Linked DNA regions of Callithrix jacchus. The protein of the gene in region 1 interacts with the protein of each later gene in a pairwise test. Links are inferred from orthologs where the notes say so. Each region holds a gene or a part of one and is shown on either strand. Other genes may lie near its edges.

Region 1 (3,561 bases):
CCCACGGCACACAACACCTCACACTCCTGCCTAGGCCGTGTGCACGTCTTCACACAAGTGACCAGACCCGGGACGTTAAATTTGCCGATGGCTTCAGAGATGGCACACCCTGTGACACTTGGCCTCCAGAGGGCAGGGCCAAGCATGTGACCTCAGGTGGCCTCCCTCTGGGAGCCTCCATTTGGGGCAGGGCCTGGCAGCCACTCGACTCCTCGTGAAGCACTGTGTACTGGGAAGGGCCTCACAAGGTCCCTCTTCTCCCTTCTCCCTTCGAGGCATCTCTTGGCTCCAGGCACACACGGGATGCCCGGGGTGAAGAAGGAGCGCCTGTGCTGGGACAGCGGTGCTGGGGTTGAGGGGTTCCGCCCCGTTCCAGGGCTGTTTTTCACATCCCAGGCGCTCTCAGAGGTTTGGGAATTAAGTGCTTGATTCTGCCTCCCACCACACGAAAGAGACGTCATTGTCATCGCTGTTCCTGCAGCTGAGAGCCATGAGGACTGTGGTGTGCCAGGCCTGTGCTGACTGCCTTGTGAGCCTCAGTGCCCATGTGGCAAGGGCCGGGCTGTCTCATCCCACAGACGCGGGCACCAGAGTGCAGGAGAGTGGCGGCTTCCCTGCCTGCACCTCTGCTTTTAACCGTCACTTCCTGCTGCCTGTCCCAGCTGAGCTGGCAGGATTTTTTCTTATTTGGGACAGAGTCTCGCTCTGTCACCAGGCTGCTAGAGTGCAGCTTCCACCTCCTGGGTTCAAGCAGTTCTTGTGCCTCAGCCTCCCAAGTAGCTGGGACTACAGGTGCACGCCACCACACCCAGCTTATTTTTGTGTTTTTAATAGAGACAGGGTTTCACCACGTTGGCCAGGATGGTCTCAATCTCCTGACCTCATGATCTTCCCACCTCTACCTCCCAAAGTGCTGGGATTACAGGCATGAGCCCCACCGCGCCTGGTCAGGATTTTTTTTAAGTAGACACAAAATATTCAAGAATGGGGGCAGATCCCCACATTGCTCTCTATGGGGATGTTTGTGTAGGCGCCTTGGGAAGCAGTGTCTTCTGAATCATGTGTTCCCAGGCTGAGGCTCTGGACTCCACTATGGCTAAGGTGGAGCCTGCTGTGGCGGGGTCCCTGTGGATGTGTGAGCAGCACTGTGAGTGGCAGTCAGGACACACAGACGAGGATAGGCCACCCCCGCACTCCCCCTGCAGGCCCACCCTGCTCTGGGCCAGCAAGTGGCCCTAGGGTGCCTGCGACAGTGCCTGAGGCATGTGTCCCGTTCGCCTGGCTTTCTGCCACCTCCTGTGGATGTGATGTGGCTGGAAGGTGGCCCAGGGCCTCCTGTCATCTTCCTCCTCCCCTGGGCTCACAGCATTTCCCCTCTTCTGTCCTCCAGCTGGTCAGTGAGAAGGTCGGAGGGGCCGAGGGGACCAAGCTGGATGATGACTTCAAAGAGATGGAGAAGGTGAGGAAGAAACCGTGTTCTCCATGTGGTGATGGCACCTCCCTGGGCCTGACCTCTGCTAGGCATAGTGGAGGTGGCCAACTCTGACTGGCCTGGGTCTGTGGAGTGATGGGGCCCAGCAGGCATGGAGAGCTGGGGTGTGGGGGCCTTGTCAGCTGGACTTGACAAGCAGGCAGCCATGGGGACGTGGCTGAGCTGAAGACATGGAGGGAGGTTGGGGGATCCTAGTGTGGGCTGTTAGGGAAGGAGGTGGGGCAGCAGGGGCCTTGTGTACCTTGAGCCCCCAGTGGCTGTAGAGTCTCATATGCCGCGTCTCTCCACAGAAGGTGGATGTCACCAGCAAGGCGGTGACCGAAGTGCTGGCCAGGACTATCGAGTACCTGCAGCCCAACCCAGGTGGGTGCTCCAGCCGATGCTAGGGCCTTCCCAGGCCCTCAGAGGGAACGTAGGGGCTGACAGAACCACCAGGCTCATGGGTGGCAGGTTTTAGGCACTGCTGGATCCAGGGGTGCCGAGGCTGTGCTTGCCTTTCCACGTCAGCCAGCAGCTCAGCCCCTTTGTTGCCTCACTCAGGCCGGCCAATTCCTCAAGGCTGTCCCAACCTTAAACCTCTTCCAGCCAGCAGTCCCGGCAGGGAGCCTCTCCCCCAGCTCACTTGTGGGACTTATTTGTACTGACTGTCCCTCCCCAGAGCCCCTGGCCTGGGCTCCATGCTTGGAGCCCATGAACTGGGTCTCCCCAGCCGTGAGGCAGGCCTTTCCCCAAATGCGGGCTCCATAGGAGGCAGTGGACATGGGGCAGACCCACAGCCAGCATTGTCCACTCAAGCCCTACCAGGAGCAGACCCAAGCAGGCAGCGGAAAGGACATAGCTCCTCACCCACCCCAGGAGCCTTGGCCTCCCCACCCCCCACTGCCCATCACCGCTGCGCGTACTCCTTCCTGGCACCCCCCTAGATGAAGGGTTCCTGGTCATAGCCACATTCTGGGAGGAGCAGCCCTTAGGAGGAGGTGGTGTTGCCCCAAGGAGCTTGGTTACCTCTCCATGCGCTGCCAGCTCCTTCGAGGCTGGTGGGAGCAGGGAAGGGACCCTCCACTGTGCTTTGTGTGGCCTGGACTGTCCGCAGGCACAGGAAGTAAGGGTGGGGCAGGGGATGTGGGGGCTGCAGCCCACTCCCACCGGGCCGTCCTGTTCCAGCCTCGCGGGCTAAGCTGACCATGCTCAACACGGTGTCTAAAATCCGGGGCCAGGTGAAGAACCCCGGCTACCCGCAGTCGGAGGGGCTCCTGGGCGAGTGCATGATCCGCCATGGGAAGGAGCTTGGCGAGTCCAACTTTGGTGAGTACTGCTCTCTGGAGGCCACACCCCCACGAGGCAGGGCAGGTCCAGGTCCGATCCACGGCCTAGTCCCTGCCTGTGCTGAGCCCTGGGGATGCATGGTGGCCCCCACAGCTTTCCAGTTGCAGGGGACTGCACAGACAGAGCCATCCAGCACCGGCCAGCAGCCAACGGGGCTCATTCCTGTGGCTCCAGATCGTCCCCAGCTCAAGCTAGTTGATTCCCCAGGGCCTGGCCCCCCAGCATCTGTCCTCCCACCACCTTCAGCCTGTTGAGGCCAAGCCTGGGCCCTTTTAGGAGCACAGGGAGGGAGGCTGCTTTAACATCCCACATGGATTCGGATTTTAGGGCCCTTGGTTTTGCTCTGAGTTCCTGGAGTGTGGGGGCTGGGCGTGGTGGCTCACACCTGTAATCCCAGCACTTTGGGAGGCAGAGGCAGATGGATCACCTGAGGATGGGAGTTCCAAGTCCAGCCTGGCCAACATGGAGAAACCCCGTCTCTACTAAAAATACAAAAATTAGCCGGGTGTGGTGTGGTACATGCCTGTAATCCCAGCTACTTGGGAGGCTGACGGCAGGAGACTCGCTTGAACTTGGGAGGCGGAAGTTGCCGTGAGCAGAGATTGCACCATTGCACTTCAGCCTGGGCAACAAGACTGAAGCTCTGTCTCAAAAAAAAAAAATTAGTAGTAGTGGGGAAGGATCTGGATGTGGGTACACACCTGTGGTCCCAGCTACTCGGGAGGCTGAGGTGCCAGCATGGC
Region 2 (4,255 bases), on another chromosome or scaffold:
GAATAATTTTTTTCACCCAGTCCTTCATTCTTGAACCCTTCCAAATAAATTATTTTCTAACACTGCTGGCAGAGTGACACTATGAAAACTTTACATCCTTTCAGCGGTTTATTGCTCTTAGAATAAAAATAATTGTCTTTGGCTGGGCGCAGTGGCTCATGCCTGTAATTCCAGCACTTTGGGAGGCCGAGGCGGGTGGATCACAAGGTTAGACGTTTGAGATCAGCCTGACCAACATGGTGAAACCCCATCACTACTAAAAATACAAAAATTAGCAGGGCGTGGTAGCAGGCACCTGTAATCCCAGCTACTCGGGAGGCCGAGGCAGGAGAATTACTTGAACCCGGAGGCAGAGGTTGGGTGAGCCGAGATCGCGCCATTGCACTCCAGCCTGGGCGACATAGCGGGACTCCTTCTCAACAAAAAAAAAAAACAAAACAACAACAAAAATTAGCTGGGCATGGTGCTGCGCGCCTGTAATCCCAGCTAATCGATAGGCTGAGTCAGGAGAATCCCTTGAACCTGGGAGGCGGAGGGTGCAGTGAGCCGAGATCAGCCACTGCACTCCAGCGTGGGTGACAGAAAGAAACTCGTCTCGTTAAAAAAATAAAAATGTTTAGGCCGGGTGCAGTGGTTTACAGTTGTAATCCCAGCACTTTGGGAAGCCAAAGCGGGCAGATCACAAGGTCAGGAGTTCGAAACGAGCTAGACCAACAAAGTAAAACCGCGTCTCTACCAAAAATACAAAAAACTAGTCGGTAATCCTAGCTACTGAGGAGGCTGAGGCAGGAGAGTTGCTCGACCCGGGAGGCGAAGGTTGCAGTCAGCTGAGATCACGCCACTGCACTCTAGCCTGGAAGACAGAGCGAGACTCCGTCTCTAAAATTAAAAAAATGTAATCTAAAACTTCCCCTAGCCTTTTACCTCGTTGCCTTTCTGAGAGCAAGATGGGTCACCAGCAGCTGTACTGGAGCCACCCGCGAAAATTCGGCCAGGGTTCTCGCTCTTGACGAGTCTGTTCAAACCCGCACTGTTTGATACGTAAATACGGTCTCAATATGTGCCGCCAGTGTTTCCGTCAGTACGCGAAGGATATAGGTTTCATTAAGTTGGACTAAATGGTCTTCAAAGGATTATCCAAGACATCTACCATGAAAAACCATTTTTTTTTTTTTTTTTTTTGAGACGGAGTTTCGCTCTTGTTACCCAGGCTGGAGTGCAATGGCGCGATCTCGGCTCACCCAACCTCCGCCTCCTGGGTTCAGGCAATTCTCCTGCCTCAGCCTCCTGAGTAGCCGGGATTACAGGCACGCGCCACCATGCCCAGCTAATTTTTTGTATTTTTAGTAGAGACGGGGTTTCACCTTGTTGACCAGGATGGTCTCGATCTCTTGACCTCGTGATCCGCCCGCCTCGGCCTCCCAAAGTGCTGGGATTACAGGCTTGAGCCACCGCGCCCGGCCTCATGAAAAACCATTATACCTCTTTGTATATAAAATAAACATTTTTAAAAACCAAAAAAAAATTCCCCTAAATCTAAATCTTTTTCTTCACTTTCAGGCGGATTACTGCACAGATTAACATTTGTATGGCATTTTTACATCTCTATAGCAGGTCTACATTTGGATTTGAAATTTACCTTTGCGTAACCCTTACAAGAACTACTCACTTTGGACCTCACGAAGACTTAAAACTGAGAGTTAAAAACGACCCGGTTCAAGTAAAGAGGCTCAAATATGGCCGTTCAGTGCATGTGCAACACGTCTCAAAAGCTCTCTTCCTTCAGTTTGTGCGGCTGCCAATGTCTGGCTCCGCTTGCTCCTAAATCCTAAGGACACTGGGAAAAAGAAAATTCGTACCCAGCACCTTTGGTTTAGGATCCGTGTCCATCTAAAGGGAATTAAGGAGTTTCACGCTTTTCCAACCTCAGCTCAATGACCTCTTCCTAAAATCTTCCCTCACCGCCGGTTTTCTCCTGTAACCATTTCCCTCTGGCCCCGATATTCAGTTAATTCTTCCGACCGGACAAAGCACTTCTTCAAAACAGAACACCCGGGCCCGGAGCAGCGGCGTGTGCCCAAAAGCACTTTGGAAGGCCGAGGCGGAAAGGTCGCTTGAGCCTGGGCGGTCAAGGTGGCACTGAGCAGTGATGCTCACTCCAGCCTGGGAGACACGCAGGGACCCTGTTCCCAAAACCAAAACCTCAACACCTCATTTCTCTCTTGGTCCCCATCTCTTGACACCCTCAACCTCCTCTCCTCAGCTAAACCTAGCAAACCTCATTTCTTACTCCGCTGTACCAGGCTGCAATCATGTTCTTGGGGTTTATTCCTAAGAGGCAAGAGAAGAAAACCCGAAGGTACATTGTTTTCTCCTTAAAAGACAAATCCGGGCCGGGCGCGGTGGCTCATACCTGTAATCTCAGCACCTGGGACGGCCAAGGCAGATCACCTGAAGTCGGAGTTTGAGACCGGCCTGACCAACACGGTGAAACCCCATCTCTACTAAAAATACAAAAATCAGCTGGGCGTGGTGGCGCGTGCCTGTAGTCCCAGCTACTCGCGAGGCTGAGGCAGGAGAATCGCTTGAACCCAGAAGGCGGAGGTTGCCCTGAGCCGAGATCGGGCCATTGCACTCCAGCCTGGGCGACGCAGCGAGGCTCCGTCTCAATAATAATAATAATAATAATAATAATAATAATAATCAGGAGTGCTCAGGGAAGACAGAAACACGAGGAGACAAAGACAGAAAACACATTCACTAAGACTGTACCGACCTCCTTGCCTTTTACCTTCTCCATATTCGGACAGGAAGCGAAGCTTGGCCAGATGCTTCCAAAATGGCCCCTGGCCCCAGATTGTTGTTTGCAAAGTCTCCTCCCACTTCCTGCCTCCCAAAGACCCTTTTTCTCCCCACCTCTTCTTTTCTGCTCCCCTTCTGTTCCCTCCCCCACAATTTGTAAATGCTGAAATTGTATCCTTTCTTATTCATGAGGGGACTTTTGTAGGGGTGGAATCACTAATCCCATTCCTGGCCCTTTTCTGTGCACTTTTAATGTAATTATCCAAAGTATGGTTCCGGAGACCTTGAGAGGTAAAAGGCTCCTGCAGAACAATTCCTGGGGGGGGGGGGGGGGGGGGGGAGTTGCCAGAGACTTGACTTGTGCAGGATGTGGAAAGGGATTTAGTAATGGAACATGTGGAAACAGCAGACTTCAGGGACCAGACTGGTGGCTTGAAGAAAGCTAAACTATTTTCTCCCACCGAATACATTCCATTTCCTAAGGGAGTTACTCAACCAACTAAAACTCAGGTTTCTGTCTGTACCAACACCCAGCATCTTTTTCATCTGCCAATGATCTAGTAATCATAGGTTTTAAAGTCTGCAGAGTAGGACGGGCGTGGTGGCTCAAGCCTGCAGTCCCAGCACTTTGGGAGGCCCGGGTGGGCGGATCACAAGGTCAAGAGATCGATACCAATTTGGCCAACATAGTGAAACCCCATCTCTACTAAAAATACAAAAATTAGGCCGGGCGCGGTGGTTCACGCCTGTAATCCCAGCACTTTGGGAGGCCGAGGCGGGCGGATCACGAAGTCAAGAGATCGAGACCATCCTGGTCAACAGGGTGAAATCCCGTCTCTACTGAAAATACAAAAATTAGCCGGGCGTGGTAGCACGCGCCTGTAATCCCAGCTGCTCCGGAGGCTGAGGCGGAAAAATCGCTTGAACCCAGGCGGAGGTTGCAGTGAGCAGAGATTGCGCCACTGCACTCCAGCCTGGCGACAGAGTAAGACTCCATCTCAAAAAAATAAATAATAAATAATAATAATAATACAAAAATTAGCTGGGAGTGGTGGCGCGCGCCAGTAATCTCAGTTACTCAAGACGCCGAGGCAGGAGAATCGCTTGAACCCAGGAGGCGGAGGTTGCAGTGAGCCGAGATCTTCCCATTGCACTCCAGCCTGGCAATAGAGGGAGACTCCGTCTCAAAAAAAAAACGTCTATAGAGTATGTTATTTATTGTGTGTGTGTGTTGGGAGTGGGCAGGGCGGGGTCCTCTCTACTTTGACCAGGCTGGTCTCGAACTCTATGCTTCCAGTGATTCTCCAGCCTTCTCCTCCCAAGGTGTTGGCATTACACGTGTGAGCCAGCACTCCGAGCCCAAGTATTCTTTATATCAAATTGTGAGTTTAAAACTCAGTCAGGGCGTGGTGGCTCATGCCTGTAATCCCAGCACTTTGGGAGACTGAGGTGG

What was found.
Region 2: the proteins of SH3GL1 (region 1) and DPPA4 interact in binary tests that used the Homo sapiens proteins (3 or more experiments, as listed by UniProt). The link is inferred for Callithrix jacchus from reciprocal best matches to the Homo sapiens genes SH3GL1 and DPPA4.

Annotation. Positions count from the first base shown.
Region 1 is NC_133523.1:4,111,570-4,115,130, reverse strand, and holds part of SH3GL1 (endophilin-A2), read left to right. Parts: intron 1-1,390; coding exon 1,391-1,459; intron 1,460-1,782; coding exon 1,783-1,855; intron 1,856-2,656; coding exon 2,657-2,797; intron 2,798-3,327; exon of another isoform or gene 3,328-3,561. UniProt on the Homo sapiens protein: Implicated in endocytosis. May recruit other proteins to membranes with high curvature.
Region 2 is NC_133516.1:100,617,502-100,621,756, forward strand, and holds the start of DPPA4 (developmental pluripotency-associated protein 4), read right to left. Parts: upstream 2,860-4,255; 5' UTR 2,801-2,859; coding exon 2,777-2,800; intron 1,157-2,776; exon of another isoform or gene 916-1,156; intron 1-915. UniProt on the Homo sapiens protein: May be involved in the maintenance of active epigenetic status of target genes. May inhibit differentiation of embryonic cells into a primitive ectoderm lineage.